Struthio camelus: one gene and its partners. The protein of the gene in region 4 interacts with the protein of the main gene of each other region in a pairwise test. Links are inferred from orthologs where the notes say so. Each region holds a gene or a part of one and is shown on either strand. Other genes may lie near its edges. The genes, in order: GTF2B, NFYB, POLE3 and DRAP1.

Region 1 (7,006 bases), on a different chromosome or scaffold from region 4:
AGCTGGAAGGCAAGCGTGATCGGATGGCTCAGCTACTTCGAGAAGTTGGACTGAAGCCTGTCATTCCAGATGGAGGATACTTTATGATTGTTGATGTTTCTACATTAAGTTAGTAAAAGGTTTAGTAAATGGGGGATGGGAAACAAATATTAAGATGAAAATGCAACTCCCATTTTAAACTATGTTCTCATTTCATTTTCTCATAACATTGTCAGAAGTACTAATTGGGACTGAAATTTTCTGTTTGACCTTAGCCTGGAGGTAAATTTTACAAGCTTCAGCAAAACCTTGCAAAGTTTTTGCAAGGTTTCAGGGATGTGCAAATAGGAAAAGTAAAGGAAACAGTAAAAACATTTCTATTTTTGAAAGGTCTTTGATTATGGAAACATTTGCGAGCCAAGTACCTGGCTTAATATCCTGCGTTTGTACCCATTTTCTATTTTTTTTTTTTTCTCCCCTTAAGCTGCAGTCAAATGCTGAGCTATCTTTAACGCATTCTGATTTTTAAACATTGTCAAATCTCACCAACATTTACAGATCTCTCTGGAAATTCAGGCTATGCTACCTCTGGAGGAAGAATTCCATCAGGGTTGTGGATTTTTGTTGGATATCTTTCACTGACTGGTTTTAATGGCACTTGTCATTCACACAGAAACGTTTAAGCAAAGCTGAGCCTCACAGTCCTACCAGGATGTCGGAAAATTATAGATACCCTAGTTTTACAGATAAGAGAACTGCAGCAGTAGCAGTGATTATTGCTGTCCATGTTGTGCAAAAAGGACACACTTCAGTACTCTCCAGACTCCAGGGCCCTTAGTCATCCAGACTTGATGACTTCTTGGGGGATTGCATCGTTCTCTCCCAAGCTACTTCTCTGATTTTGCTTTGCATGGAAAGCGAGTGCTCAGGTCAGAGTGGAAAGATGTACATCTGTTGGCCTGGTTTAATCTTTATAACTTTTTTTAATTATATTTTATAATAAAAGCATACCTCTTTATTCTTAAGTATTAACTGAAGTGCTGTTAGTGAATGCCTTGCCACTGGAGGCTAGGAAGTCTTACAAGATCTTGTTTGTTCTCTGTTTAATTTTTTTAGATGTAGATCTCTCTGATGTGGAGGAGAATCAACCTTATGATTATAAATTTGTCAAATGGATGATAGCATCTAAGGTAAGGTGTCTTTGTCATACTCTGAAGTTTTAGAAATGCTTGTCTACTGGAAGCAAGAGAAGTGTAACTGTACTTATGCAATAATGGAGTAGAAATACTACGTTCAAAATATTATTTGTTATTTATGCTAACTGCTGGAAATGATGTGACTAAAATATTGCTGAATGTACTGAAAATGTACTCTGTAGGTTTGTGTTAAGTCTCAACTTTTGTTCTTTCTGCACGCTTAAATGCTAGTTGTAGACAAGTACCTTTGAACTGTTTTGCCTAAAAAAAGTGATTTGAACTTAGTTAAGCGTAGCTTTGCGTGCAAGATCCAGCCTAGTATTTCACTTGAATGTTGGGAGGGAGAGTTCTAGGAAATTCGATAGTAAAATCGTCATGTGTGAAACTGGTTTTTCATCTGTGTATAATAAATAATATTTCCGTTTTATGCTTCAGAAACTTTCAGCAATTCCTCTTTCAGCATTCTGTGGTCCTCAGACAAAAGTGCAGTTTGAAAAATACATACGTTTTTGCTTCATTAAGGTAAACTTGTGTCCCAGGAAGATTCAAAAAATAAAAATCAATGAATATAAAAATCTGCAACAGGCTACTTATAACATTTTTTTCACAGGATCTCCTGAGTTTTGTGATTTTAGCAGCAGAAAGTTAGCTTGATGTAAAATTAAACACAAAGTAGCTTCAGCTATCTTTTTGCTGAGGGGCTTTAAGTCCTAAATGCGAGTGGCATGGTTAAGAAGGGCAGGTCGAAGAAAACAGCTGGGTGGGTAAGCTTTTTTTTAGCTTATTCTGTTGATTTTTAAAACATTCTTGGCCAGTGGTGACAATGAGAGTGGATGACACAGATATCTCATGCTATCTATTAAGATGAATTCTATAATCCATGGTAAGGAATAATTCCTTTCTATGGCAGACAGGGATACACCATGTGCAGTCAGTTTCAAACAACAAAACAAATCATTAAATAGGTGAGCTTCAAGTTTAGCTCACTTACCTGAACGTACATACAGTTTTAAATGAGCTCCAAATCACAAAGAAAAACAAAGACATAAAAAGGAATCTTCAGTGTTTTTTAAAGGAGGCAGAATTGACAAATTGTAAACTGGCAGACTCTTGTAATTTTGTGAGCACCTCCTCTTCCCATATTCTTCTTCCTCCTGTTACACCCACTTGCTGGGTCTGTTTTTGAAAATACTGAAAAACGTTGGAGGCAGCTACATAAACTTTGGTAGACATACTTCCCTAAAATCTTAGTCTTACTGTTCTGTCATAGAATCGGCATAATGGCACATATGCCAACCCCTTAACTGTTCCATGTACAGATCAGAGCCTTAGCTTGAACCACTGATGAAAGGGAGTTTCTGCTTGTGTTACTTAGTTCTTAAGATGAGGTATAAAGACTATGATATAAACTGAGCCACTAACAACCAGGATGAAACTTGCTCGTTGTGAACGTGGCTTGCTCAGGATGAAGAACGCTAATTGTGCCAAGGTAAAGGCTACTCGTGTGACTAACCGGCTGTAGCCAAGCCACAGAACTGGCCAGTGGATGGATTACCCATATTTAGAGGGATTATGTTTAAGTAGTTCACAGCATAGCTTGGTTGCATGGAAATTTAAAAATCCTAATTGTAAAGATTAGCAAACTATGACTAGCATGCTTCTAATATAGAGCGGTCAAGAACATTAATGCATAAATGCCAGGCATTTATGTAAAAAGTATCCACTTTCATTAAATTTGATAATGTAAATATTGAGAAAAATATGCTCTATTTTTAGCAAATACACCTGAAAAATATTTGCAGGGTATTAACATTGAATTCTTGGTGTTGTCTAGATTTGTAGCTATAAATGTTAATGGAGAACTGACTGTTTGGGATATTTACATGATGCGAACGAAACTGCCAAATATTGATTTCAGATGTTATAATTATGACTGCTACTCTGTTTTCAAGAACTCTTTACTTACAGTAATAGTAGTACTCCTTGTTTTGCAGAAAGACAGCACACTAGATGCAGCTGAAGTCATCCTGAAGAACTGGAATAAAAAGATAGCTTGATTTTTTTTTTTTTTTTTAATCAACTCTTCTGTCTGGTATAATCTTACACTAGGACTTTTTCTTGCAAATTTAAGAACAAATTACTTAGTACAGAATTAATTTGACATTGTAAATAACTTTGTGCTGCCACCTGCTGAGGAGTTAAAACAATGATTTACTCAATGCGTGTAATGCAATTCAGAGCTTATTTTCAGAGGTCTTTTCAAAATGATTGACCTTTTTCCAAAATAATCTACAGGCTCCACCTCTCTCACTGAAAAACAAAGATTTCTGGTACTCTGAGTAAAATGAATACATCATATAGGTATTTTAAGACTTACAAGGAAAAAATGGGAGGTGTTTTTGGTGTGAAGTCGTATAGAAACTAGGGGTAAGACTTAAAACATTGTGGTTTGTGAGACCTAATAGCCAGCAGTGGAGGAGAATTAAGACGTGCCTCAGATTAGATAATTGCAGTGACTTTCTACCTACCTACCTACCTACTCTGTCCATGCATGAATTGTATCAGTTAAATAAAGTGATTGAGTTAAATCAACGCAGTGTTTATATATAGGCAAGTTCTAAATGTGCTGAGCTGCATAATTAGTATTTTATTTTCCCACATTAGTCAAGTTTACTGTTCTGAAGGCATTCGTTCCCCCCCCCCCCCAAAAAAATTTTAAAAGTGGCATCTAGAATACCTATAATATTTATTAAATAGATGAATCTACAAAGCAGAATAAAACACCTTGCCTTAGAGGCTCCTTCACAATCAAACGTACAGTGACATACGTAATCCTGTAATTCCTTTTCCACTTTTTGCATGTTCACAACAACCGTTAGTAACTTCACACCAAACTTACTTCAGTGCTTATTTTCATGCTTGGGGAAGCATGGAGATGGGCCAAATACTGTACTATGGAGCTCAGCTAACTAGGACTATTTCAAGCTTGATGGATAAGGGAGTGTTTCAGAAGAGATCAATGTGGAGAAATCCTTTCTAGTTGCTTCCTCTTTGAGCTGTGTGACCTTTTCATCTCTGGATGGGTTTCCCACTAGCAGAAGCAATCAAGGTAGGTCGCCTTTTAAGGATGTATGTTGTATTCTGTGTTTTTTCATTCTTCCCACAGGCCTTCTGGGGAAAAGTTGGAACAAATTCAATACCTAGTTTTGCAACTGCCTTGCTCATTCTGTAGTCATATAGCTGGAGTCTAATTGAGTTCTATCAGTCTGTGATCGTGGCCAGGGGCTAAAAAAAGTTGTATGGAAACTGGACTGTGATAGCAGCTGTTACGCCTCTGCTGACTAAACATGTCAGTACCTCTTCTTGCCCTTGGACTTCTGGGAGTCCAGTAGCTGGGACTTGTGTTGTCTGTTTAGCTGTCATACACTGCCATCCCCCAAACCTTAACAGAAAAAGGTTGCTTGGTATTTTTCAGGGGTTTGTAGTCTTTGTGTAAAATATCCATTTGGTAATTAAAATGACTTAACTTAAATTCCAGCAGGAATGTCATAGGGAAATTCTTAAATAAATTCCCATAAATTCCAGGAGGAACTATTGTTATAAAACAGTAAAATTCAGTGAAATCTACACTGTATTTTGCACGACCTTTAAAATCTCTTTGTGTAAAGTGCACCGGGGAGTTGTGCTGTTGCAGGAACTAGAGGACACTGTGTCAGTTCGTTGAGCTGAGTGATAATCTGGGCAAGGGAAATGCTTCTGTTGGTGATATGTAAAACAACTGGTTTATTTGGAAATTACTCCACAAATATTCCATTCCAAAAGCCATTTGGAGTAGAATGTCACACTAAGGCACCTGCCACTTTCATTGCAAAGTGAATTCTCATAAAATAAAAAAATCTTTGCTAACATATGTTCAGATATGATAATATGAATCAAAATTTCCTAATGACTTAGCCTCTTAAATAGTACAAAATAATAAAATATTTGTTATTTAGCTTCCTGTCCTTGAAACAAGTGCCTTGCAATGCAATTCAACATTCAACATATAATTTCAACAAAATTCAACATATAATTTTCATCATCATTTTATATGTCAAAAGGGAGTTTTAAATATCGTTGTACCATGCTTGCCTTGATAACAGCTACAAAGCACAATCCACTTAATATTTTTAAAAATTATTATTTAAAATTATTATTTCTGCAGTTTAAGATTTCCCTGAGATAGCGTGTTAGCATGTGAGCATATGTGTAATTGTGTTATGGGTCCTCACAACAGCAGTGAAGTGATAAAAGTTGCTTCCATTCACCTCTCTCTACAGTGTTTTTGTTGCCTTGTAAAGAAGTATCATTGCTTCCTAAAGACTTGTTTCAACACTGACTACTGTTAATACCATGGCTTGTGTTACTGTTGCATTACTGTCATTGGCAAATGGGACACCCTGTGTAAAGTCGGTCTTTGTATGAATATATGCAAGAAAGAAAAGCTATAGGCAAGGTTGCCAAGGAAATTATAAAAATTATAGCAAAATATACCTGTTTTTCCATTGTTACATTCAGTAACAGTAGCATTTTAAATACCTCATTCTTGCATGCTAATAACTCACGTGCTAAAGCACTGAATCTGACAGGGGAGACACAGGGGGCCCAGGTTTAAAGATAGCTCTGCATAGTGTATAATTCCAGAGCCCTGCTGATGTTACGGGACACACTGTATTAGACTTCACTTAGCTTTGATTTCTTTTTGCCTATTTTGTCCAGCTGCTGTAGTGTGCTAATCCTTTTGTTTCATCAGATGTCTGAATACATAAGATGCAGCACAGAGATGAATTAACATACCAAGCATAATTCAGCTGCCTTGGCTATTTATTGTTTCTTTCATTTGCTCCTTTGAGGCGTTTGACTGACATCTGCTATTTTAACAAAATGAATGTTGGCTAAATCAACAAACCATTACAAAGGATCTTTATACATACGAGTAAGAATTGATGACTTGTTTTCATTAGTGTACTCCTCATTGTGTTCATGAAGACATCTGAATATCCCATTGCATTATATTGTTGGAATGATGCTGGTAATATTCATAATGTGAGAACTGCAATTGAACTATCTATTTATCACTGACAGTAGCCAGCATGAGATATTTTGGATGAAATTGTAAAAAGCTCCAGAATGAGCAATTAAAAAATAAGTTTTAAAGTGGGGTTATTGTTGTAACTGTAGTGATGGGAAAGAACAAGTACAGCTAGGCACAGCAAGGTGAACTTTCTGTAAGTTATTAAAATGATGTGTTGTTGACAGAGACGGTTAATAGTGGTATTCCCATCTGCTACATCAACCACTTTTTGGCTGCTTGTGGACAAAGAACTTGGGAAAAATTGCTACAGACAGAGAATAAAGAAATGGTGAGATATGATCTATCATACTTTTTCCAACAGTGCTGAAAATGATTGTCTTTCTGTGCTGGAAATTAAACCCTTTCACTTCTAGTTAATGAGAACAGCGTCGGAAGGGACCGACTGCTGACAGTGATTGTCAGCAGATGATCTGTTTTATAGAATAGATTATATGAGAAGCCAAGACAAACGTGGAAAGCTTCATGGGACTGACAGTGCTGATGTGGCACATCTGTTGCAGATACTGCTACGCACACATTTCAGAGGTTATAGGGAAACTTCTTAATATAGCAAGCTGTATTCACATTGATAGTAACAATTTTTTTTTATTAGCATTTTATCTTTTGGTTTTATTGAGCCTTGTGAAAAAGGGCATTGCAAATGGAAAAAGAGAAGCTTCATCTTCTAATAGTTCAGCTTCCTTTTATTCCAAAAGCA
Region 2 (7,865 bases), on a different chromosome or scaffold from region 4:
TGCCATTTGTTAGTCCCTACTGCCGCTGGCCATGCCTTTATTGTCTCTGCCACAATTAAAGCCACTTATTCATTCCCACGCATCTCTTTGCAACGAGGGTTTCGTTTTAGGCACATAGAACATCAAAAAACACAGGAAAGTCTCTCGCACAAAATCAGGTTTTTGCCAAACAAATCAGTATTAAAAGTGAACACGGTTAAAATAAAACAAGCTTTTTGCAAGTGATCTCCTGGAATCTGCAAAAACTTTAAGGCAGGCACCGCATGTGAAAGGTAGCTGGGTGCTTGGCTTGGAAGCTTCTGATTTTTTCAAGCAGGGCTTTTTAAAGAGGGGGAAAAAAGCACTGATTTTAATCCAGAGTAATCAAAGTTTATTGGCCTTGGAAAACAAAAGGACTGGGGTGGAACAATTTAATCCTCTTCGCAGCAACCCAGCAAACAATGACACTGCGTTTCTATGAGCTGAGGGAAGTAGGGTAACCTAACAGATCATGACCCTCAGAACTTCCTTGCCGCATAACTAATACAACAAACCAAACTGATGCATACGGATCCTGACAAAGGCCTAACTGGAAACGATTGTAAAAGATGGGCAGGAAACAGTAAATGCATTACACTTTTGTGAGCCAGAAATACAGAAATCTGTTTGCTTTGTGTAAGGTTGTGCAAACAGTGCGGGAGTTAAGGAAGTTAAGAGCTTCCTTACTGTCATACTGGGAACGCACTGCCAGAATACACAAGAGGTGACAGCGCAAAATCATGCTTTCCTCTCCGAGTATGTGAGCGAACAAGTAAAACTGGTGAGTTTGCTACAGCAGAAGATTATGGAAGATGCCTCAGTTCGCTTCTGAAAGCCGGAGCAGGTTCTTAAAGAACAGTTTAGTACTAGACTAGAATAAGCTAATACTATTTTCTAGCTCAAAGTAGTAGCATCAACGGAAGAAACGGACATGTGGCATCACAAGAGACACGAAAATCTTATCTGTGATACTATTTTATGATTCTAACAGTGGGAGATATGAATGCAAAGGGAGGAAGTAAAGATAGCAGGCAAATGAAAGTGCTGGGTCAGACAGCATTGTGACAGCCAACATTAATGGGGGCCAATGACTTCTGGTGAGACAAACCACCTGACTACGGGCACACGCAGCTCCCTCACAGGGAGACACACAGTTCCGTCGGCTTACCAAAAACGAGACTGACCACGTTATCAATGGTACAAGGCATAGGTAATTCATATAGGAGGACAACATGCTAAAGAAAGCAACAGCTGTGAGCTTCTTAGAAGAAAAAACACAAGGTAAAACTAAGTTGAGGATCAGCAAAAAGACAGAGAGTGTCAGACATTGCTTGATAAGTTAAAGGATGGCTCTGTGAGGAAGATATACACTGTGACACCAAGAGGAGTATCATGGTTAACAATTGCTGATAACGCAGAAATGGAACATACAGTAAGTATTCAAAGACACGATACATGCATTCAGAATGAGGAAAATCATCCCAGTATCTCCAAAGAAGCCTTGAATATAGAGCAACTGTTACACCGGACTGCAGAAAAAAAAGGGGGGAAGGGGCAGTACTGTACGTTGTGGGGGATAAGCACTGCCCCTATTCATGGCCAAAGTCAAGGGGATGGCATAACTGTAAACAAGGGCAGAAGAAAAAACAAGGTGGGCAACCATGACTCCACCTCCAGGAGGGTCAAGTCTGCTCTATGCTACAGAGTGCTATGACACATTTGTTATCGTTATACCTGAGCCATTCACATGCAAATTACATGGGCAAAACATTTGCAGGAAATACTACAAAATAAATAAAAGCATGTAAGGCCTCATAACGCACACTTTCACCACACGAAAATGTCAATACAACTTGGTCACCACCAATGGTAGTACTTCAGCACAGAACCAGGACCACCAAACTGGATCCCCCATTATAGTTACGCTGGATTCTCACATTAGCACCAAAAAAACCCAACAGTAATGACTTTAAAAATATTTGGTTAATTCGTTTTGTAGACTCCAACCCACATCTCATTCCAAGTCTATTAGAACTTTCTAGGTCCATCGGTATGCGCCAGGTCCTGAGTGCCCAGTCCCAAACAGAGATGAGCAACCTTAACTCACATCAAAGTCAAATGGAAACACAGCAGCTCATAAAATTCGTCTAGCATGAGGATCTGGGGAAAAAAAGGGGCACTGGAGGTGATACCAGGATAGAGCGCTGCAGAACAAACAATACGTTTTATATGGCAAGAGCTGCAACTCAGGCAACCTTAATTCTAAGATGTTTACACTTACTGTGTAGCCCTGACTTCTTTTCATGAGTCCTTTTTTTCACAATAAAATGCATGTGTATCAATACAGAAAACTAAAATAATGCAGAGATACATTAATAAAATTCAGGAAAACGATCATCTTTGAGCTGTTTCCAATTTTCATACCTTTACACCTACAAAACGCGTCATAAATACTGCATATTCACAATATTTTTGGTGAAGTAAACCAAATACTATTTGAAGATTGTAAGAGAACCTTTATAAAAGTACAAACTAAGGTAAAATGTCTTCAATAGTTGTGGTATACAGAATATATATAAGCATTATATCTTAAAAATCAGTAATTTTTTCCTGTGCTAGCCATCATTTTCCTTGCTGGTTTTGCTCACTGCCAGTGTTTGCTTTATTAGACATCCTTTTGGCTCTTTAAGTGAATTAATAATTATGACTTTGTAATAAAATTTATTATTCCCATTGAAAAAAAGATGGAAGGGCGGGAATAGATCCAAAAAGGAACTGAGAAATTCTGAAAGCCATGAACCACCCAATTTCTTCCTCCTCCTAGTAAAAGAACACAGAGAAGTTTAAATACGCCTTGTCTGAGGGATGCATGTGAGATAAAAGTAGAAAAACTGCTCACCGCTATGATTAGCTATAGAAAGGGATTAATTTAAGATTGTCCGTGTTTTAGAGTCAGCTAAACAATGAGTAATTAGCTTATTTGAATTCTGTTTCAGTTTTCAAACAAATTATGTATCTCTATTTGCATTCCTACAATTATTTGCTGTTAATGTTCTGTTTGACCTCTTCCAACACCACCCACAACTCCTCTCATCTCTTGTTCTTGAAGGACATAAGAAAAATTGACTTGTTCCTTTAAGAAACAGATGCCAGGTTTGAGATATTAATCCACTTGTACATGACCATTCCAGGAGTGAAGCTGCCTAGATGCCGCAATATAAGGCTTGGCATCATAGTTTAAACCAGCTTTAGTGGAGGTTTAAACTAAGACACTGCCAGGGTTTTCGAATAAGCAGCAGGGAGTAGTAGTGTCTTAAATTGAGAAATCAAGATGTAGCAGATCATGTAGACTGAAGCCCAAACAACATGTCCTTTGAAGTCACGTTACCCTCAGTGAGTCAGCTTCCCAAGGCTGAAAAAGCTCATTAAGATGCTGGCTTCACTTCTGAGTTTGTCAGTGGGTACACTGTCATCAGAGGGAACTACAGGTTTGGGTACTGCACTGGGTAACTACACTGCCGTTTATCCTGCCCCAAACTCCACGCTACCGCACCTACGTTGCTTTCAGTATCTGACTTAAAGCTAAATCAGGTACTACTGATTAGGTTACTACTCTTAATAGTAACCTAGTAGTTGGCAACATTAGGTAAGGGAACATTCCCTAGTTGGTCCGAGGGAGCTGCCTTACCCTTCAAGTACGCGGGCAACTGGACTCTCTTGAGAGTGTATGCTTGGGCAGTTTGATAGGCTTTTCTTTCTCTTTTTTCTTTTAAGTCTTCCACAGTTAGGGTAAAAGGATATGCAGTGCTTCCAATGCCATGCCCTTAACTCAGATTGTGGGATTTTGTGCTTACACAGCTAGAAAAAGGTACTAAGCAATATGCAGCCACAACAATAAGTGTATTTCATGAGCTCTAACTGGCGGGAGCCTCATTTTTTGTATTTGCCATCCACTGCTGTGCTCCTGTCTTATGCAAACTCTTACTACACAGGCATCTTTATTCTTTGTTTGCGAAGACACTGTGACAATTTCCTTCTACATACTACACCTGTAAAATGTTACATACTATCTTAAAACGGCCAAGGTGTTTTAGTTTCGGGAATTCTCTACTATGTATATTAAAAACACCTATGAACACACGTACCCCTTTCCCAAGCGTTAGAAATTGTCCATAATCTTCAAATAGGCAGAGTTGAAAGCGTTCTTTCAGCAGTAGGCGCCCAGTGAAATACTATGTGCTAAAAGCGCTTTTTCATTAGGGCAGGGGCGCACGCCCAGTTACGTCTGCGGCCCTTCGTTACCTCACTCACGCTCGTCACTTCTCCGTATCGCCAGGTCCTTAGGGAGCCAGCCAGAGCAACAGTTAAACCCCACATCCCAAGAGCGCCCGCCGTGACTCTGAACGGGTACAAAACGGCCAGGTGAAAGACAGATTCCCCACCGCTGTCGCGACAGCCTCTCAGCCGGGCAGAAATCACCTCCACGGGGGAGAGGGCTGTTCCGCTCCCCCCCCCCCAACTCCGAGCCGTTTCGGCGGCCCGGGCAGCAGCCGCGGCACAGACCCTCGCTCTCTTTGCGCCGGCGGGCGGGCGGGCGGGTTTGCCTACCTGTTGGGCGCCGCCACCGCCGCTCCGGGCGGCCGCCGGGCGCCTGCCGCACCGCTTTGCTCTTCTGCAGGGCGCTCCCCATTGCGCGGCGCGGCGCAGCCCCGGGCGGCGCCCCCTGGCGGCTCTCAGCACCCCCTCCACTCCCCCCGCAGCGGCGGCGGGCGCGGGGCCGCGCTCAACGGTGGCCGTTGGGGCGCGGCCGTTGGGGCGCGGCCGGGCGGCGCGAGGCGGCGTCTCGCTGTAACGGTCGCGGCGGGGAGGGGAAGTCGGGTGAGGAGGGGTGGGGGGGCGCGCCCCCCCCCTTCCATCTTACGTGAGGCAGGTCGGCGCCCGGGGAGATGTCTGCCAGGGGCCAGCTGTTGCGCCAAGAGTCGCCTAACGGTAAAATACTGCCCGAAATCAGTCTGTTTTCTTGTGTGTTTTTTTTGTTTTGGGTGGTTTTTGTTTGTTTTTGTTGTTGTTTGTTGTTGTTGCTGTTGTTTTTTCCCCCGGCGTGATGCCGTGCGGGGCTGCTGGCGCTGAGCCGCAGCTCGGCCTGGCTGAGGTCAAGGGACCGTCCATACAGCCAACGCGACTGTGGCGGCGGCAGGGACGCTGGCGAGGGAAAAGAGCAGCCAAAAGGCGTTTTAGAAATGTTTACCTCGCAGTGAACGGTTCCCACTTAGAAATCGTATAAGGGAGGAGACGCTCTAACTGAAAGATTCACTACCTCGTGCAGAAAGCCTAATTAGGCTTATCGCATTGCTCCCTTCTGGGCTCTGGATATTATTTGTAATGATTTTCGTACAGCACTGCCTCGGTTAGGGGCCCATTGTGGCCGCTATCATACAAAATAAGTGGCAAGAGAAGTGCCTGCCCTGAAGAATTTCTGGCATAAACAAAGAAGAAGGGTAAAACAAGAGCCTACAACCCTATAAACCATCAACAAGCAGCACACAAATACCTGCTGTTACTGTCAGCTGAAATTCTGAACTTTCTTGTCTTTTCATGTGGAAGCGTGTGACTAGTTACCAAATAAGGCAACTTATCTAATCAGTATTCTTGCTTACGGCAAATGTTGGTGTTTGTTTGAAAGGTTTAGAAAAGATGCCAAACCAGCTCTTAATGTTCTGGTGGACGAATCTTCTTTTCAGTTGCACAGATTGACTACTGGGCTGTATCCTGACTGACTAAGGAGGATGCTGTCCGTGGAAGGGAACAACACCTAATGCTAAAGCACTACAACAAAATGCCTGCTACAGACTCCGACTCAGGAGCTCTTAGTCCAATTTGTAACATGACTGCAAGGTGCCCTGAGCAAGCGAGCTACTCATGCCCTCTAAGTGTCCCTCGATGTGAAATGTAAATATTGCAGAGATTTAGCTTATAGCCCCCTCAGAGTTGTGATTATCTGACTAATGCTTGTAGTAGAGGACCCCAAACCACTTAAGCTCTCAGCGCTTTGCCATAATAGCAATAATGTGTGAAAGGGAAGAAAGAAAACAGGATAATAACTGGGTCTTTGAGTGTAAGAGGCATTGCCACCCAGTCCTTGATTTTTTTTTCACAGAGGACTTAAGCAACTCACATTTTTGATGCTGTGCTACGATTCCACTCTGCAGTGATCTCTCCAGTGCCAGCTGAAGTTTCTAGCACAAAGAATGATTATTTAATTTAAGATTAGAAATGGAAAAAAGTCTCTGAACTTGCCATGGGAATGATCACTGAGATTTTAGAAATGATATTTTCAATATAGATATTATAGATAATCTGTAATAGCAAGAATTATGATGATAATGAAGCTAATAATTGTTACAGGTGTTCAGGGATTATTATAGCTTCAGAATTAAAGTTATTAAAATCATTCTCAGCACAAGCTGAGAGAAGGAACCAAACCCCATCTCCATATTTGCATCAAATGGGGACCATCAGCTGGCAACTCAGACAGTTTGAAAAAACAAGTTTAAAAAACAGCTTGCAGTACCGCTGCTGTCCTTGATACTGTTTGCAATGTCTGGTTTAGCTTTTTGTTTTGCAGTTATGTTCTAATCACGTTTCCTCCCATTAGGAAAAGAAAAAAGATCTCGTGTTGTTGTGGTGAAGTTCCATTGAAGCAATAGAAAAAAATTGTCCCCCAAAAAGTCCAACAGTTAAGATGTTATCAAGTCTGAGTGCCCAAACAAGTGAATCCAAAAATCAGAATTATCCAAAATCATTTGCAAATTTTAAGTATAGTAATTCAAAGGCTCTGTCACTATAGAACAAAATCTTGATGCTGCACCCGAAGACTAGTATGTAGTTTTCGCCTTCCTCACCCCACTCTTCTAAATCCATTTCTTCTTCCTACAGTTCTACTGGCCCGTCTTACCTCTTACCTTATTTATTACAACCTCCTCACTAAGATCATCTTCGGACCATTTGAAGTACAGCCTGGGAGCTTTTGTGTTCCTTAACTATTATTTGGATCAGACCATTCCTGATTTTGCCATCTTAAAAGATAACTCCTTTTTTAGTCTTTCCTCAGGCTTCCTACTCTCTCCTGAATCACAAGTTATGATCAACCCCAAGGTTCTATAAAACTTTCGTTTTTGCTGATCTACAGTTACTATTTTGCCCTGTCATCTATTCTTCGCTCAGATCTACTTCTTTACTCTGTTAGTTTGCTTCTCCATAGACGTCTTTCGTTTCTCCTACAATGTTGCCCATGTTAAATCTTTTTTTTTTTCTAAGCAGAGCGAAAAAGTATCTACCCTCTTTTTCTTTAAATTTCTCCTAGAAATTAAACTTTGTACGGGGCTTATGTAAAGCCAAATACATCTGTTTATCTTATAATTTATTCTTAGCTGACTGAACTGCACCCATACGTGAGGTCCAATGTTGGGCCATTGAAATGTAAGGGGAATGTGACAAGAAGAAGAATGAGAAGTGGAAGGAGGAAGATGGAAGCAAAATGCAGTATATTCCAGTTACTACTGCAATGATTTCTTGATGCTTTGGTTATAGCCTTGGTTATATGTTAAATCCTTTTTCCTCCTTCTTTGCCCATCTCTCTCTTTTTAGATTCTTTGGGAGGAGGGACTTTTATCTTCCACTGTGCTTGGAAAATGCCTAGCACGTTTTGAGTCCCACTGCTAGCCTACGCATAAATAATCGGCATGATGTCCTTTTCCAATAGCAAGAACACACAAAGGAGAGCAGTCTTCAGGATTATAAAAGTTCAAGGACACCCTGGATCCTGTAATATCTCCTTGGTACAGACA
Region 3 (7,554 bases), on a different chromosome or scaffold from region 4:
CGAACAGAGCCCAACTCCCGCACACGTCTCATCAGAAAGCTTAGTTGTCCACCTCTTCCTCCTCATTTTGCTCTTCTTCCTCCATTCTTTCGTCGTCGTCATCATTCTCTTCCTCTCGGCTCTTATCTTGCTCTTCTGAGTCTGCCTTCTTGTCTTTATCTTTTCTTGCTTCTTTCTTTCCTTTCTGTTCACGTCTGTAAACTAAAAAAAAAAAAAAAAACACTGAAAATTTGCAGGCTATCCACTGTATGAATAGTAGAGCAGCTGAAGTCCAATGCCCACTTGCTCTCCAGGGTTACAACAGGAGCAGTGAATTCAGAGCAGCAACTCACCCTATTATTTGAGCTGTGCTGAGCAGCTCCATAGGAAATCAGGTTAAGTGCTGTTCAGCAGAAATATGCTGAAAAGGACGCAGGAGTTCCCATTTACAGGCAGCACCTAAGACTTTCCTTAGACAAACATAATAGGGGAATGATATCAGATGAGACTTTCCCAATCCTCATCAGTTGTGAAATAATGTTATCCCAGTCCTGTTAAGGTGCACATTATTTATTCCCCAGGCAAACTGCAGTGTAGGATGCTGGGCAAAGAAAAGAGAAACAAGACAGGGAAATAAGCGTTGCTTGTCGAACCTTCTAGGAAAGTAGGACTTGGTGCTACTTAGACTCCCTTGACATGAACTGAGACCAGTACCTTCCAGTGATTCTTTTAAAGGGGCTACAAATCGCTGAAACTCCATTTCCTCCATGGCAGAGAGAACATCACCAGCATTCAGTGTTTTCCTCTTCCCTTTCATTGCAAAGTTATTTGCACTAGTCAAAAACAAGGAGAACAGAGATAATAACTATCAATTTATTCTTGCTTCTTAAGGTCACAAACAACTTCCCCCCCTCCGCCCCCAAAAGTGATCTCCTAAACATTCAGTTGTTCTTACCACATACTATAGCTGATTTACTGTAATAAAGATATTTTCTTGTTTACATTGACTGTTCATGTTTCCATAATCTGGGTGAGTACTTAAAACCAGAGCAGTGACTGTCTGCACAGCATATTCTGAGCATATACACATGGCCATATACCCAGCCACCCAAAAGAGGTTACTGTATCCTCTGGGATCAGCTCCAAGGCAGCCTATGGTTGTCTCAGGCTTAGTCCTAACGCAGCTACGTGGAGAGCCTGGAAAGTGAGCAAAGGTCTTTCGCATTTGCCTGGAAATACCATACAGCCATGCTCCAAGGCCAGAGGACAGTGTGGGGGCCGCTCTTATTCCTCACGGGGTAGGAAGACACCTTCGTCTACAGAGTCATATCTGTCTTCCCTCAGTTTGTACAGGACAGTCCAAATCTGACTGCTGCAATCTGATGGACTGGGCTAGGCTGAAGATTGTTTTATTCATATAAACAGTCAACACTTCACTAGCGCATTGAAAAAATCATTTCCAGGAGAGCCAACAGAGAGGCTAGTTATAAATCAACTGCACTGGTGATCTGATCCAACCACTTCTTACCATGATGTTGCATAGAGCACAAACACACTTGCCGCTCGAGATATTGCGCTCCGAGCTTCTTTAGAAATATTTACTCCATCAGGAAGCTGAAAAGCAAATTCGAGTTTTATCAGTAGCTGCTATAAATGGCTCAAGACTGCATAATTCACGTGTCAGCTCAGCTAAAGCTTTCAGAGAGCTCAGCATGACTGCAAACGTGGAAAGATTTATTTATCTCAGATGTTATTACAGAAAGTTTGATAGTAGCTGAAAGTTAACGATGATCTAAGCTACATAAAAGGAAAGTAAATTCTGCATCAGCAGTGGGTCTGGCCATCATCTCAGTGGCGATTCATCTGATCACTATCAAATTCTTGATGCAGAACAATCATCCAGCAATATCCAAACTCATGCATTGACGCCTCATAGCTTAAGATCATCATATCATTAACTTAATAACTAAGACTTACTCTAGGCTTCTACACAGAAAAGAAATTGCACTTGAGCCCTCATCTGTTTCTGCTCTGATTTTGTTCTGGGAGCTGGTTTAGGAAGACAGGGTTCTCACTGCCCCATCGCTCCTGCCTCTACCGTAGGATTTCAGAGTCTGGATCGTTACTCCTGACACCTGGAAAACTGGGCTGGGGGCCGATCTTTTCCTCACAGGTTTCCTCACAGGTGCACAACACGCGTGACGGCACGGGAGGCTGCGCCCACCGCTCTCCCCGGACAAGCTGTTCCCGGCACCCGGGCACGTTTGGGGAATTCGAGAGGGCAGCAAAGACGTGGAATAAAGAAACTGCCGCGGGGGGCTGCTCCGGAGGAGTCTGTCTGCTGGCACCCACCCACCCCCGTCCCTCGCTCGCCGGGGCCGCCGACGGCCGACTGCCCCGCCGCCGGACCGCCGAGGGGACGCGGCCCGGGAACCGGCGCTGCCCTCGCCCTGGGGCGGCGGAACGCGGGCCCCGAGCTCCGCGGTGAGCGGAGGCCCCCCGGCTCGCCAGGAAGCGCCCCGAGGCCGGGGCCCCGCTGCCGAGCCCTGCCGCCTCCCCGGCCCGGCCCGGCCCGGCCCGCGCCGCCGCGCCCACCGCCTCCTTGATGATGCGGGTGATGACGGCGTTGGGCAGGTTCAGGTCCTCGGGTCTCTCCGCCATCCTGCGCCACCTGCAAGGCAAACGGGAGCGTCACTCGCCGGGGCCGCCCGGTGCCGGGGGAGGGCGGGGGGGGAGGTGCGGCCCGGCCCGGCCCGGCGCCCGCGGTACCTCGCCGCGTGCCGGCGGCCGCCGCACCGAACCGCGCGCCCAGCCGCTGCCCTCTCACCTCTGACCCCTCCCAGCGTGCAGCGCGCCCCTTCCCGGCCTGCCCCGCGGCCGCCGCCGCGCGCCCCGAGCGCGGCCGTTGGCCGGTAGGCAGCGCCCGCCCGGTAACGAGGAGACGGGCTGCCGCCGCCGGCGGCGACTCAGGCCCGGGGGCGCGGGAGCCTGGCGGCACCGGCGGGCACGGGCACGCGGCGCGCGGCGTAGGGGGGCGGGGCCAAGGGGGGGCGGAGAGGGGGTGCGTCCAGGGGGCGGGGCTCGAGGGGCCCGGGGCGGGCCCGGGCGTGGTGGGCGGGGCCCGGGCTGCCGTGGGCGGGGCTAAGGAGGCAGGGCGGGGCGCCTGCGGGGTGGGGATGGCGGGAGTGAGAGCGGGGCAGGAGGAGTTGGAGGGCGGTGGGTGATGGGGGCAGTTCATGGGGCTCCAGGGTGGGGGGACAGGGGCAGTTTGTGGGAGCCTGAGGTGAGGGAGCAGGGCCGGGGGCAGGTCGTGGGACTCGGGGGCTGCGGACAGGGGCAGTTTGTGGGAGCTCAGGGCAGGGAGCAGGGCCTGGGGCAGGTCGTGGGAGCCTGGGGGGTTGGTGAGGGATCAGGCGCAGGGGGGCGAGAGCCTGGGGGGAGCCCGTGAGGCAGGTGCCCGGCCCGCCCACCGGTTTCCGGCCTCGTGAGGGCACGCCTTGGGCTGCATGGCATCCGCGCGGGGGCCTCCTCGCCCGGCCGTGGCTCGCCCTGGGGGCCTTCGCCTCGCCAGCCCTGGCGGCGAGCCTGGGGCGCGCGCTTGAGCGCTGCGCTGGCGCGGGGATGTGGCTGCGGCGCGGGGCCTCGTGGGCAGCCTGGGCCTTGGGGCGCCAGGCCGTGCCGAGCGTGCCTTCGGCGAAGGTGTCGCTTCCCCGCGGACCCCGGCCCCCGACGCGTAACGCCGCGCCTCAATTTCTCTTCAGTTGATTTCATCAGGTTTTATCGCTTTTGATAGCCTGACAAGGTAATTGAAGTAAACTCAGAGTGTTAGAAGGCAGTGGATTAATCTGGTGTGGTGTCAGAGGTCATTTTTGAAATTGGGAGTGTTAATGGTCAATGCATCTTTTCTCCATGCAAAGTGTACGTTTTCCAACAGTAGCTTGTGGATGTTTACGTGACCAATTTATATGTAAAGATTGGAGCTTATTTTACACCTGATGGTATTCTGGGAATAGTACGCAACATCTTCGGTGTAGAAAGGTCAGACCTGAAGAAAGGCTTGTTTGCCTGAGGACGTGATTACGTTTCCAGTTGTACTGGTTGGATTAATAAAAGCTATCACCTGTATGTACAAATCATGTCTCTTGAATCTCATTTTTAGCACCTTTTAATGTATTCTACTGTTAACTGTATGGATGCTTTATGGCACGCAGAGACAAGATGCTGTAGCAGGTGTTGGATTAGTTTCTAATGAAAGTAATGAGAGACTGTAACTGGTCCGTTTGTAAGTGTAATAGATGGTGCTAATACAGACTTCTGAGTTGGCTGGCTGCTCGCTGTTGTTAGAAGAGTCATTAGAAGCCATTGTGGCTTGTTTTGTTTTTTATTTCGCCAGAGGCGAGGTTGTCTTTTGTACACACCTTTTCTAATTTGAGAAGAAAGCAAGACACAGTTATGTTGTTTTCTGGTGAGGGGGGTGGACTGGCGTAGAAACAGAAATGGTGCTGGCCCAAGGCCAGACAGAGGTACAGCCCAAAGCTGCTGCTCTCATGAACCTCTTCTAGATGCTTCTCATCATGAAGAGGCGTATATCTTTCTGACATGATGGACTCTCTTCTTTCTTGGATGCTTTGGTCACCAGTGAAATAACTGAGATAAAAAGGTGTGCTTGTTTTTAACTACAACGTCTAGAGGGTCGACGCTGTATCTATTAAAGTAATAATTAACCTGCGTTTTCTTTGAGGCATGTAATGGTGATATTGTCTCCCGCTTTTTTGCTTTTCCGCACTGGCTAGCATAGCCAAACCACTGCTCTTATGTCACTGTAGATATTCCAAAGCCACAAGGAGAAATTATTGTACCAGTGTAAAATGTGACTTGTAACAGTGAAGTTTACTACTGCAGGTCACATTTTACATGTTACATGCTTTGCATGTTACAGCTAGATGAGACTAGAAAGGAACTATGATATCAAAGCTCTGGAGTGACAGGGTACAATGGCAGGTTGTCAGCTTGTCATGACCTAGGATGGATGTGCCTGAGGGCAGCCTGTGATTTGATCCCCACCCTGCAATGTGGTTATTTTTAACGTTATACTGTATATGTATTCAGGTTTGTTTTCTTCTGCTAAATTAATATGCACTAATTTTCTGTTTTGCAGAGTATTTAAATCGATGATACCATCTTACCACTCTCCCTTCATACTGGAGCGGTTGCAAAAAGGATGACTGCAGATGTAAGCCAGTGGGACGAAACTATTTGTGATAAGGTTATTTGTCAGCATCCACAATGCTGGGATACACTAAGGAGGATTGAAGAGGGACATCCTCGGATCCGTTTAAGAAATTCTGATTCAATTTCTAGAACGTTTTTGGAAAGCAAAGGTAAAGTTTTGGTTAAATTATTATCTTCACAGAAGAAGGGAAAAGAGCATTCTTGCATTTGAGATAACTAACTTGAAATCCTAGTGAAGTCAAGGAAATTTTCAGTTTTCACATGAGGTAGCTAGTGAAGTTGAAGACTGTTCACAGATTTTTGGATTTTTAAAGCTGGAAGCAAACATTAGATTGCCTAGTCCGACCTGTATAATGTATTCATGCCCTTCAGGATTTATCTCAATAGCTTGTTCAAATAAAGCATCTCTTCCCTAAGGTAACTAACCTTGATTAGCTGATATCAAGAAAGCCAGAGTTACTTTCCTTGGCAGCTTGTTTCAATGGTTTCTTGTTAAATTTAGGTACTCAGTCTTCAACATGCATTTTTCCTTAAGTATATGTCCATAAGCTAGTAGCAGGTTTCATTCCAATTCCACCCTAGGTCCTCTAACACGCTTCAGGAAAGTCTTTGTAAATGAGGTTTGCATATCAGCTGCTTGGAGCTCCCTGTGTACACTCTTTGATCACTACTTCCTAGTGTTTGCCTGTGGGTCTGATCTCCTGTTTACCCAAGTGATTCATCAGTGTTTGACAAAACTTGCTGTCATCTTCTTAAGGGGGTTTCTGCTGCCTACCAGCAAGAATGGGGTCGCTATGGACAGATAATTAAGAAGAAAGAGTTGTTATACTTATGTTACTGTAATTCCTCGAGATACACTGTACAGAGCAGTCTGACAAAGTGCCCTTCTCTTCTGTAGCTTCACAGAGTCCTTTAATGGAGACTCTGAGCAGCAAAGGAGGTGACTGGTGGTTGATACTGCACTAACCTTCTTGCCCTTAGAATGGCGGGTTGAGGCTCTGCAGGGCTCATGCACGGCTCAGAAAATGCTGTGGTGTAGAAGGTGGTGATTTCTTGCATTTTTGGCACTTTGGGCCCTAGGAGTATGATCTGCACGTAGAGAACTTCTCCAAGAATCACGGTTGCTATAAGGTGAATTATTGTTTCCTTAGCTAGAAATTCTGGCTACTATAAATGGGGCTAATACACCAATGGAGCTGTTGTGTCTTCAGTGGCAGTAAACAGTTATTAAACACTGCACGCAGTTTTTACTTATCAGATCCTTGATGTTCACCTTGCATTTGCTTTACTTTTCTTAGATGAATTTCCAACGCTGAAAATAGTAAATATCCCCCCCAGCAAGTCTTTGAGAAGATGCGTCCAATGTTCCAAGTGTCACAGAACTTTCTCCATCTCTGCTGCACCCTCTCTTCTAAATTCTGTGCTTCAAGAGAGTTCGGAGGAAGATAGTGCTGTCAGGTGAATGGCTCTGAACATCCATCTGTGAGTTTTAAGCCTGCAGTAAGGGCAGGCATGAAGGTGATAGCTTGTTTTTTTGTTTTTTTTTTTTGTTTTTGGGTTTTTTTTGTTTTTTGGGGTTTTTTTGTGTTTTTTTCCTCAAAGAGCTCACAGAAACATTAGGTTCAGCTGTAGTGGACACAGCTTACAAAATGTTGTTTGTACTGTGTAGAATACACTGTTAGCAGTAATGGTTGAGTCTTGCTTAAGTTTATTTCCTTGAAAACGATGCTTCTGTATCATTAAGACCAAATAAATAAAAAATTTGAAGTACAGATTATTTCTGTATAGTAGTCACTGTGGAGTGCATATATAGTCTCTGTTGGTACTGAAGCCCTATTAAGATCGGTGCAATAAAATTCTTGAAGAAACACAAGTCCTAATTAAATGTGTATGCCCATATGGTGGTATAGAATCGGCAAATGGTTGAGTATGTTCATAACCCCTGTAGGCTGGTGAGTCAATTCACACCTCTTTCCCCTCATTAGTACTAACTGGATCCACCCTAAACTGCTGTGGAGCTATTCACAGAGTAAGTTATCACAGAGCATGAGTCAGAGGGGACAGTAAAGTGCTCAAGGCCAGAGTTAAGTGTGTGTCCCATTAGCTCCATGTCTGTAACAAAACAGGAAGGGACCAGCTGCTCTGGAAGCTGAACACACAGCTCGGATCCGAGTGGCTTCCATGGCATGGGATGTTGTTACAGTACTTACTTTTACTAGTTTAAATTTGTCATAGACTGGCCCTTGCTGGTCTGCATTCTTTTCTTTTTCATTATAGAATAAGAATTTTAAACTCTCGACGGTATCCTGTTTTTAAAGAAAACGAGCTTTATTCTTTATACTT
Region 4 (7,597 bases):
GGGTCCCCAGGGGGGTATTTGGGGTCCCGGGGGGGTCCCTGGGGTCCCCGGGGGGCTATTGGGGGATTTGGGGTCCCGAGGGGGGGTATGTGGGGTCCCTGGGGGGAAGTTGGGTCCCCAGGGGGGTATTTGGGGTCCCGGGGGGGGGGGATGCGGGGTCCCCGGGGGGGTATTTGGGGTCTGGGGGAGGATGTGGGGGGAGGCGGGGTCCCCAGGGGGGTATTTGGGGTCTGGGGGGGGGATGTGGGGGGATGCGGGGTCCCCAGGGGGGTATTTGGGGTCTGGGGGGGGATGTGGGGGGAGGCGGGGTCCCCAGGGGGGTATTTGGGGTCCCGGGGGGGGATGCGGAGTCCCTGGGAGGGTATTTGGGGTCTGGGGGGGGATGTGGGGGGATGTGGGGTCCCCAGGGGGGTATTTGAGGTCCAGGGGGGGATGTGGGGGGATGCGGGGTCCCTGGAGGGGTATTTGGGGTCTGGAGGGGGAATGTGGGGGGATGCGGGGTCCCCAGGGGGGTATTTGGGGTCCCGGGGGGGGATGTGGGGGGATGCGGGGTCCCCAGGGGGGTATTTGGGGTCTGGAGGGGGGATGTGGGGGGATGCAGGGTCCCCAGGGGGGTATTTGGGGTCTGGAGGGGGGATGTGGGGGGATGCAGGGTCCCCGGAGGGGTATTTGGGGTCTGGAGGGGGGATGTGGGGGGATGCGGGGTCCCCAGGGGGGTATTTGGGGTCCCGGGGGGGGATGTGGGGGGATGCGGGGTCCCCAGGGGGGTATTTGGGGTCTGGGGGGGGATGTGGGGGATGCGGGGTCCCCAGGGGGGTATTTGGGGTCCCGGGGGGGGATGTGGGGGGATGCGGGGTCCCCAGGGGGGTATTTGGGGTCTGGAGGGGGGATGTGGGGGGATGCAGGGTCCCCAGGGGGGTATTTGGGGTCTGGAGGGGGGATGTGGGGGGATGCAGGGTCCCCGGAGGGGTATTTGGGGTCTGGAGGGGGGATGTGGGGGGATGCGGGGTCCCCAGGGGGGTATTTGGGGTCCCGGGGGGGGATGTGGGGGGATGCGGGGTCCCCAGGGGGGTATTTGGGGTCTGGGGGGGGATGTGGGGGGATGCGGGGTCCCCAGGGGGGTATTTGGGGTCCCGGGGGGGGATGTGGGGGGATGCGGGGTCCCCGGGGGGTATTTGGGGTCCCGGGGGGGGGATGTGGGGGGATGCGGGGTCCCCAGGGGGGTATTTGGGGTCTGGAGGGGGGATGTGGGGGGATGCGGGGTCCCCAGGGGGGTATTTGGGGTCCCGGGGGGGGATGTGGGGGGATGCGGGGTCCCCAGGGGGGTATTTGGGGTCCCGGGGGGGGGGATGTGGGGGGATGCGGGGTCCCCAGGGGGGTATTTGGGGTCCCGGGGGGGGATGTGGGGGGATGCGGGGTCCCCAGGGGGGTATTTGGGGTCTGGGGGGGATGTGGGGGGATGCGGGGTCCCCAGGGGGGTATTTGGGGTCCCGGGGGGGGGGATGTGGGGGGATGCGGGGTCCCTGGGGGGGATATTTGGGGTCCAGGGGAGGGATGTGGGGGGATGCGGGGTCTCTGGGGGGGGATGTGGGGGGATGCGGGGTCCCCAGGGGGGTATTTGGGGTCTGGGGGGGGGATGTGGGGGGATGCGGGGTCCCCAGGGGGATATTTGGGGTCCTGGGGGGGGATGTGGGGTCCCCGGAGGGGTATTTGGGGTCCGGGGGGGATGCGGGGGTGCCGACGTCGTTGCCCCCCCCCCAGGCCCGGCGCCCTCCGAGCCGCGGCCCCCCCGGCGCATGGCGGTGCCCACCCGGCCCCGGCCCGGCCTCGGTGAGCCTGCGGGGGGCAAACAGGGGGGCTGGGGGGGGAAATTGGGGGTCTGGGGGGGCAAACAGGGGGCTGGGGGAGGAAAAGGGGGGTCTGGGGGCAAATTGGGTCTAGGGGCAAAGAGGGGTCTTGGGGGGTAAATTGAGGGGTCTGGGAGGGCAAAGTGGGGGTCTAGGAGGAAAGGGGGGTCTGGGGGCAAATTGGGTGGTCTGGGGGGGTAAGTTGGGGGGTCTGGGGGGTCAAAGTGGGGGGTCTGGGAGGAAAAGGGGGGTCTGGGGGCAAATTGGGGGGTCTGGGGGGGTCAAAGTGGGGGGTCTGGTAGGGCAAAGGGCGGTCTAGAGAGCAAATTGGGGGTCTGGGGGGGTCAAAGTGGGGGGTCTGGGAGGAAAAGGGGGGTCTGGGGGCAAATTGGGGGGTCTAGGGGGGCAAAGTGGGGGTCTGGGAGGAAAAGGGGGGTCTGGGGGGTAAATTGGGGGTCTGGGGGGTAAATTGGGGGGTCTGGTAGGGCAAAGGGCGGTCTAGAGAGCAAATTGGGGGTCTGGGGGGGTCAAAGTGGGGGGTCTGGGAGGAGTAAATCGCGGGGGGGGGTAAACCGGGGGGGGGGCAACCAGGAGCAGGGGCAAATTTTGGGGGGGTGTTGGGGGGGGTGTCATTGCTGCCCCCCCCCCCCAGCTCTGCTGCCCCCGCCGGCCCCGGCGGCGCCCCCCGTGGCCCCGGCTTTCGCTTTCGGGGTCCCCCCGGCCCCGGCGACGGTGACGGCGGCGGGCGGCCCGGCCGTTTTGGGGGGGAAAGGGGCGCTTTTGGGGGCGCCGGAGGCCGAGCACCTGTCGGAGGCGCTGCTGCAGCTGCAGTTCGAGGACGGCGGGGGGGGCGGTGGCGGCGGCGGCGGCGGCCCCCCCCCCGCCCTCGACCTGCCCCCCTCGCCCCTGGATTTGGGGGCGCTGCTGGCCGACGGCCCCTTCCCGGCCCTCGACACCATCAACGCCGCCGACTTCCAGCGCCTGCTGGCGGCCCCCGCCGACCCCCCGCCTCCCCCGCCGGGCCCCGACTTTGGCGGCGGTTTCGGGGCGCCCCCCGGCGCCGGCGGTTTCGAGGCGCCCCCCACGCTGCTGGCTTACCCCGAGGCTATCGCCCGCCTGGTGCAGGGTCAGCGCCCCCCCCTCGCCGACCCCGCCGAACCCCCCCGGCCCCCCGGCAGCCCGCCGGCGCCCCCCGACGAGCCCCTGCCCTCCCTGGGCGACCTCGACTTCACCGCCTTCCTCAGCCAGTTCCCCTCTTCCTAGGGGCCGCCGGGCGACTGGGAGCCACTGGGGGGCACTGGGAGAGACTTGGGGAGCACTAGGGGCCACTGGGAGCGACTGGGGGGGCGCTGGGAGTGACTTGGGGGGCACTGGGAGCGACTTGGGGGGGCACTGGGAGCGACTGGGGGGCTCTGGGAGCGACTTGGGGGGGCACTGGGAGCGACTGGGGGGAACTGGGAGCGACTGAGGGGGCGCTGGGAGCCACTGGGGAGCACTGGGAGCGACTGGGGGGGCGCTGGGAGCCACTGGGGAGCACTGGGAGTGAGTTGGGGGCCACTGGGGAGCACTGGGGGCGACTTGTGGGGGCGCTGGGAGCGACTGGGGAGCACTGGGAGGCTACTGGGAGCCCCTGTAGAGGCAACGGGGAGCCCCTGGGTGGCGCTAGGAGGCTACTGGGAGCTACTGGGGACACTGGGAGCCGCACAGGGGCCATGGGCTGATCCCCCCCCCAAAGTGGACCGGCCCATTGGGGTGCTATGGGGTGGAGGGGGAGTGGGCTGAACCATTGGGGGCTCATGGGGGGGGAGGGGGTGGGCCGAGCCAATAATCTTACGGGGTGGATCAGCCCATTGGGGTCCCTATGGGGGGAGGTGGGCTGTACCATTGGGTCCATATGGGGGGACGGATCAACCCATTGGGGTCTTTATGGGGGGGGGGTGGACTGAACCTCTGGGGTCCCTATGGACTGAACCATTAGGGTCTTATGGGGGGGTGGATCAGCCCACTGGGGTCTGTATAGGGGGTGGACTGAACCATTGGGGTTTCTATGGGGGGGGGGCCAGGGGCTGTACTAGTAGGGTCCACATGGGGGGGATGGACTGAACCAATGGGGCCTCTATGGGGGGGAATGGGCTGTACCATTAGGGTCCATATGGGGGGGATAGACTGAACCAATGGGGCCTCTATGGGGGGGAATGGGCTGTACCATTAGGGTCCATATGGGGGGTGGGCTGTACCATTACGGTCCATATGGGGGGGTGGGCTGTACCATTGGGGTGTTATGGGGGGGAGGGCAGATCAGCCCGTTGGGGCCTTATTGAGGAGGAAGGGCTGAACCATTGGGGTCCCGGGGGAGGGGGAGGAACACCCCCCTCCCATCCCACCTCTCTCCCCCACCCCCGCTTTGGCTCCACCCCCTCCGGGGCCAGCCAGCCAATGGGAGGCGGCTCCTCCCCCCCCACCGCAGTGCCTTAACCGGGGCGTCCGCGCGCCCTCCCCCCCCCCCAACCCGTTTTTTTTTTTTTGTAGAGCCAGTTTGAACCTTCCTCAATAAAACGCTCAAACGCGCCCGCCCGGACGCCTGGGTCCCTTCCGGGTGGGGGCGGGGGCGGGGGGGAACCCGGAAGCGGCGGCGGCAGGAAAGCCGGAAGCGGCTGGGAGGGGCGGAGGGGGCGGGGCGGAGGGGGTTGATTGACAGCGGGAGGAGGGGGCGGGCGGTGGCGCGGGGCGGAAGGGGCGGGGCCGCGGGGCGGAAGGGGCGGGGCCGCGGGGCGGAAGTGAGGGGGTCGAGGCCGCAGCGGAGGCAGCGGCAGCGCCGGGGAGCGGGAGCCGCCGGGGCGATGCCGAGCAAGAAGAAGAAGTATAACGCGCGGTTCCCGCCGGTGAGGGGCGGCCGGGCCTTCACTGCCGCCGGGGGGGGGTCTCCATGGCAACCGATGGGGGGCGTGGCCGGGCCTTCACTGCCGCCGGGGGGGGCGGGTCTCCATGGAAACCGATGGGGGGCGTGGCCGGGCCTTCACTGCCGCCGGGGGGGGGGGCGGTGGGTCTCCATGGCAACCGATGGGGGGCGTGGCCGGGCCTTCACTGCCGCCGGGGGGGGCGGTGGGTCTCCATGGAAACCGATGGGGGGCGTGGTCGGGCCTTCACTGCCGCCGGGGGGGGGCGGGTCTCCATGGAAACCGATGGAGGCGTGGCCGGGCCTTCACTGCTGCCGGGGGGGGGGGTGTCTCCCTGACAACGGATGGGGAGGCGTGGCCGGGCCTTCACTGCCGCCGGGGGAGGGGGGGCGGCGGGTCTCCATGGAAACCGATGGGGGGCGTGGCCGGGCCTTCACTGCCGCCGGGGGGGGCGGGTCTCCCTGACAACGGATGGGGAGGCGTGGCCGGGCCTTCACTGCCGCCGGGGTGGGGGGGGCCCGCCGGGTGTCCATGGCAACCGATGAGGGGGCGTGACCGGGCCTTCACCGCTGCCGGGGAGTGGGGGGCGCCGGGTCTCCGTGGCAACCGATGAGGGGGCGTGGCCGGGCTTTCAGTGCCGCGGGGCGGAGCCGCCGGGTCTCCGTGGCAACCGGGGGGGGCGTGGCCAGGCCTTCACTGCCGCGGGGGGGGCGGGTCTTCATGGCAACCGATGGGGGCGTGGCTAGGCCTTCACTGCCGCCGGGTGGAGCCGCCGGGTCTCCGTGGCAACCAAGGGGGGCGTGGCCGGGCCTTCACTGCTGCTGGGGGGGGCAGGTCTCCATGGCAACGGATGGTGGCGTGGCTGGGCATTCACTGCCGCGGGGGGGGGGGGCGCGCTAGGTCTCCATGGCTACCGATGGGGGCGTGGCCAGGCCTTCACTGCTGCTGGGCGGAGCCGCCGGGTCTCCGTGGCAACCGATGGGGGCGTGGCCAGGCCTTCACTGCCGCCGGGCGGAGCCGCCGGGTCTCCGTGGCAACCAAGGGGGGCGTGGCCAGGCCTTCGCCGCCGGGTCTCCATGGCAACCGAAGGGGGGTGCGGCTGAGGCTTCACTCCGCCGGGGAGGGGGGCGGGTCTCCTTGGCAACCGCGGGGGGGGCGTGGCCGGACCTTCGCTTCCGCCTGGGGGGGAGGTGGTGCCGAGTCTCCATGGCAACCGCTGGAAGGGGGCGGGCCTTCACTGCTGCCGGGTCTCCATGGCAACCGCCGGGGGGGGGTCACCTGCTTCCTATGTCTGTGGATCCCGGCTGCCCTCAGGGGCAGGGAGGGGGGCGTGGCGCGGAGGAAGGGGGCGTGGCGCGGAGGAAGGGGGCGTGGCCTGCCCTCGGGGTCATCCGAGAGGGCTCGCCGGGGGCGGGGCCAGGTCATTCGCTCCACCCCCGCGGCTGCTTTGAAAGGCTACTGAGGGGGCGGGGCCTCGAGGCGGCTTGGGGGCGGGGCCAGGCGGCAGGGGCGGGGCCAGGCCACTTTCCTTGCTCCCTTCCCTGGGGCTGGTTTAAAAGGCTGGTGGGGGGGCGGGGCCTGGGGGGTTTGGGGGCGGGGCCTGGGGGGTTTGGGGGCGGGGCCTGGGGGGTTTTGGGGCGGGGCCTGGTGGTCGGGGGCGGGGCCTGAGGGTGCGGCCCGCAGGCACGCATCAAGAAGATCATGCAGACGGACGAGGAGATCGGGAAGGTGGCGGCCGCCGTCCCCGTCATCATCTGTATCCTGCCCGGACGCCTGGGCCCCCGGTGGGGGGGGGGGGCGGTCCCGGACACCTGGGTCCCCTCTGCTGGGAGGTGATGGGTGCCACGGGGAGGGGCTGGGTGCCCTGGGGGGGGGGTCGTGGGGTCCTGGGTGCCCCATGGAGGGGGTTTTGGGGGGTTCTCGGTGCCCCATGGGGGGGTGAGGGGTGTCGTGAGCCTTTGGGGGGGAGGGTCAGGGGGTCCTGGGTGCCCCATAGGGGGGGTTGGGGGGTTCTAGGTGCTCCCTGGGGGGGTGAGGGGGGTCCTGAGTCTCTGGGGGGGGGGGTTGGGGGGTCCTGGGTGCCCCCTGGGGGGGTGAGGGGGGTCCTGAGCCTCTGGGGGGGGGTTGGGGGGTCCTGGGTGCCCCATGGGGGGGTGAGGGGGGTCCTGAGCCTCTGGGGGGGTGTTGGGGGGTCCTGGGTGCCCCATGGGGGGGGGTTGGGGGGTTCTCGGTGCCCCCTGGGGGGGTGAGGGGGGTCCTGAGCCTCTGGGGGGGGGTTGGGGGGTCCTGGGTGCCCCATGGGGGGGGTTGGGGGGTTCTCGGTGCCCCCTGGGGGGGTGAGGGAGGTCCGGGGGGGGTCAGGGGGTCCTGGGTGCCCCCTGGGGGGGTGTCCTGAGCCTTTGGGGGGGGTCGGGGGGTCCTGGGTGACCCCCAGGGGGATGAGGAGGGGTGCGGGGGGTCCCGGGTGCCCCCCGGTGGGGTGAGGGGGGGTGCGGGGGGTCCCGGGTGCCCCGCGGGGGGTGCGGGGGGGTCGGGGGGTCCCGGGTGCCCCGCGGGGGGTGCGGCGCGGGCCGGCCGGGTCCTTAGCGGGGCAGCGCGGGCGCTGGAGCTCTTCCTGGAGTCGCTGCTGCGGCAGGCCTGCCGCGTCACCCGCGCCCGCAACGCCAAGACCATGAGCACCGGGCACCTGTGAGCCCCCCGGACGCCGGGGCCCCTCGGGGGGGTGGGGGCGGGAGACCCCCGCCCGGACGCCTGGGTCCTGCTGGGGGAGGGGGCTGGGAGACCTCCCTCCGGACGCCTGGGCCCCGCTGTGGGGGGGGGAGCTGGGAGACCCCCGCCCCGGACGCCTGGGCC

What was found.
Region 1: the proteins of DRAP1 (region 4) and GTF2B interact in binary tests that used the Homo sapiens proteins (3 or more experiments, as listed by UniProt). The two-hybrid records come from large-scale screens. The link is inferred for Struthio camelus from reciprocal best matches to the Homo sapiens genes DRAP1 and GTF2B.
Region 2: the proteins of DRAP1 (region 4) and NFYB interact in binary tests that used the Homo sapiens proteins (3 or more experiments, as listed by UniProt). The two-hybrid records come from large-scale screens. The link is inferred for Struthio camelus from reciprocal best matches to the Homo sapiens genes DRAP1 and NFYB.
Region 3: the proteins of DRAP1 (region 4) and POLE3 interact in binary tests that used the Homo sapiens proteins (3 or more experiments, as listed by UniProt). The two-hybrid records come from large-scale screens. The link is inferred for Struthio camelus from reciprocal best matches to the Homo sapiens genes DRAP1 and POLE3.

What each region holds. Positions count from the first base shown.
Region 1 is NC_090949.1:19,993,585-20,000,590, forward strand, and holds the start of GTF2B (transcription initiation factor IIB), read left to right. Parts: upstream 1-3,996; 5' UTR 3,997-4,254; coding exon of another isoform or gene 4,255-4,284; intron 4,285-5,967; 5' UTR 5,968-6,102; coding exon 6,103-6,150; intron 6,151-6,473; coding exon 6,474-6,577; intron 6,578-7,006. Other genes in the region: KYAT3 (kynurenine--oxoglutarate transaminase 3), read left to right, coding at 1-108, 1,096-1,169, 1,611-1,697, 3,170-3,232. UniProt on the Homo sapiens protein: General transcription factor that plays a role in transcription initiation by RNA polymerase II (Pol II). Involved in the pre-initiation complex (PIC) formation and Pol II recruitment at promoter DNA.
Region 2 is NC_090942.1:62,634,732-62,642,596, forward strand, and holds the start of NFYB (nuclear transcription factor Y subunit beta), read left to right. Parts: upstream 1-4,848; 5' UTR 4,849-5,007; intron 5,008-7,865. Other genes in the region: TXNRD1 (thioredoxin reductase 1, cytoplasmic), read right to left, coding at 4,627-4,708. UniProt on the Homo sapiens protein: Component of the sequence-specific heterotrimeric transcription factor (NF-Y) which specifically recognizes a 5'-CCAAT-3' box motif found in the promoters of its target genes.
Region 3 is NC_090961.1:12,219,799-12,227,352, forward strand, and holds the start of POLE3 (DNA polymerase epsilon subunit 3), read right to left. Parts: upstream 3,001-7,554; 5' UTR 2,807-3,000; exon of another isoform or gene 2,749-2,806; intron 2,651-2,748; 5' UTR 2,641-2,650; coding exon 2,575-2,640; intron 1,594-2,574; coding exon 1,508-1,593; intron 813-1,507; coding exon 694-812; intron 202-693; coding exon 41-201; 3' UTR 1-40. Other genes in the region: C20H9orf43 (uncharacterized protein C9orf43 homolog), read left to right, coding at 5,201-5,360, 6,510-6,669. UniProt on the Homo sapiens protein: Accessory component of the DNA polymerase epsilon complex. Participates in DNA repair and in chromosomal DNA replication.
Region 4 is NC_090976.1:890,974-898,570, reverse strand, and holds the start of DRAP1 (dr1-associated corepressor), read left to right. Parts: upstream 1-4,588; 5' UTR 4,589-4,687; coding exon 4,688-4,729; intron 4,730-6,427; coding exon 6,428-6,500; intron 6,501-7,338; coding exon 7,339-7,432; intron 7,433-7,597. Other genes in the region: RELA (transcription factor p65), read left to right, coding at 1,762-1,830, 2,500-3,110. UniProt on the Homo sapiens protein: The association of the DR1/DRAP1 heterodimer with TBP results in a functional repression of both activated and basal transcription of class II genes.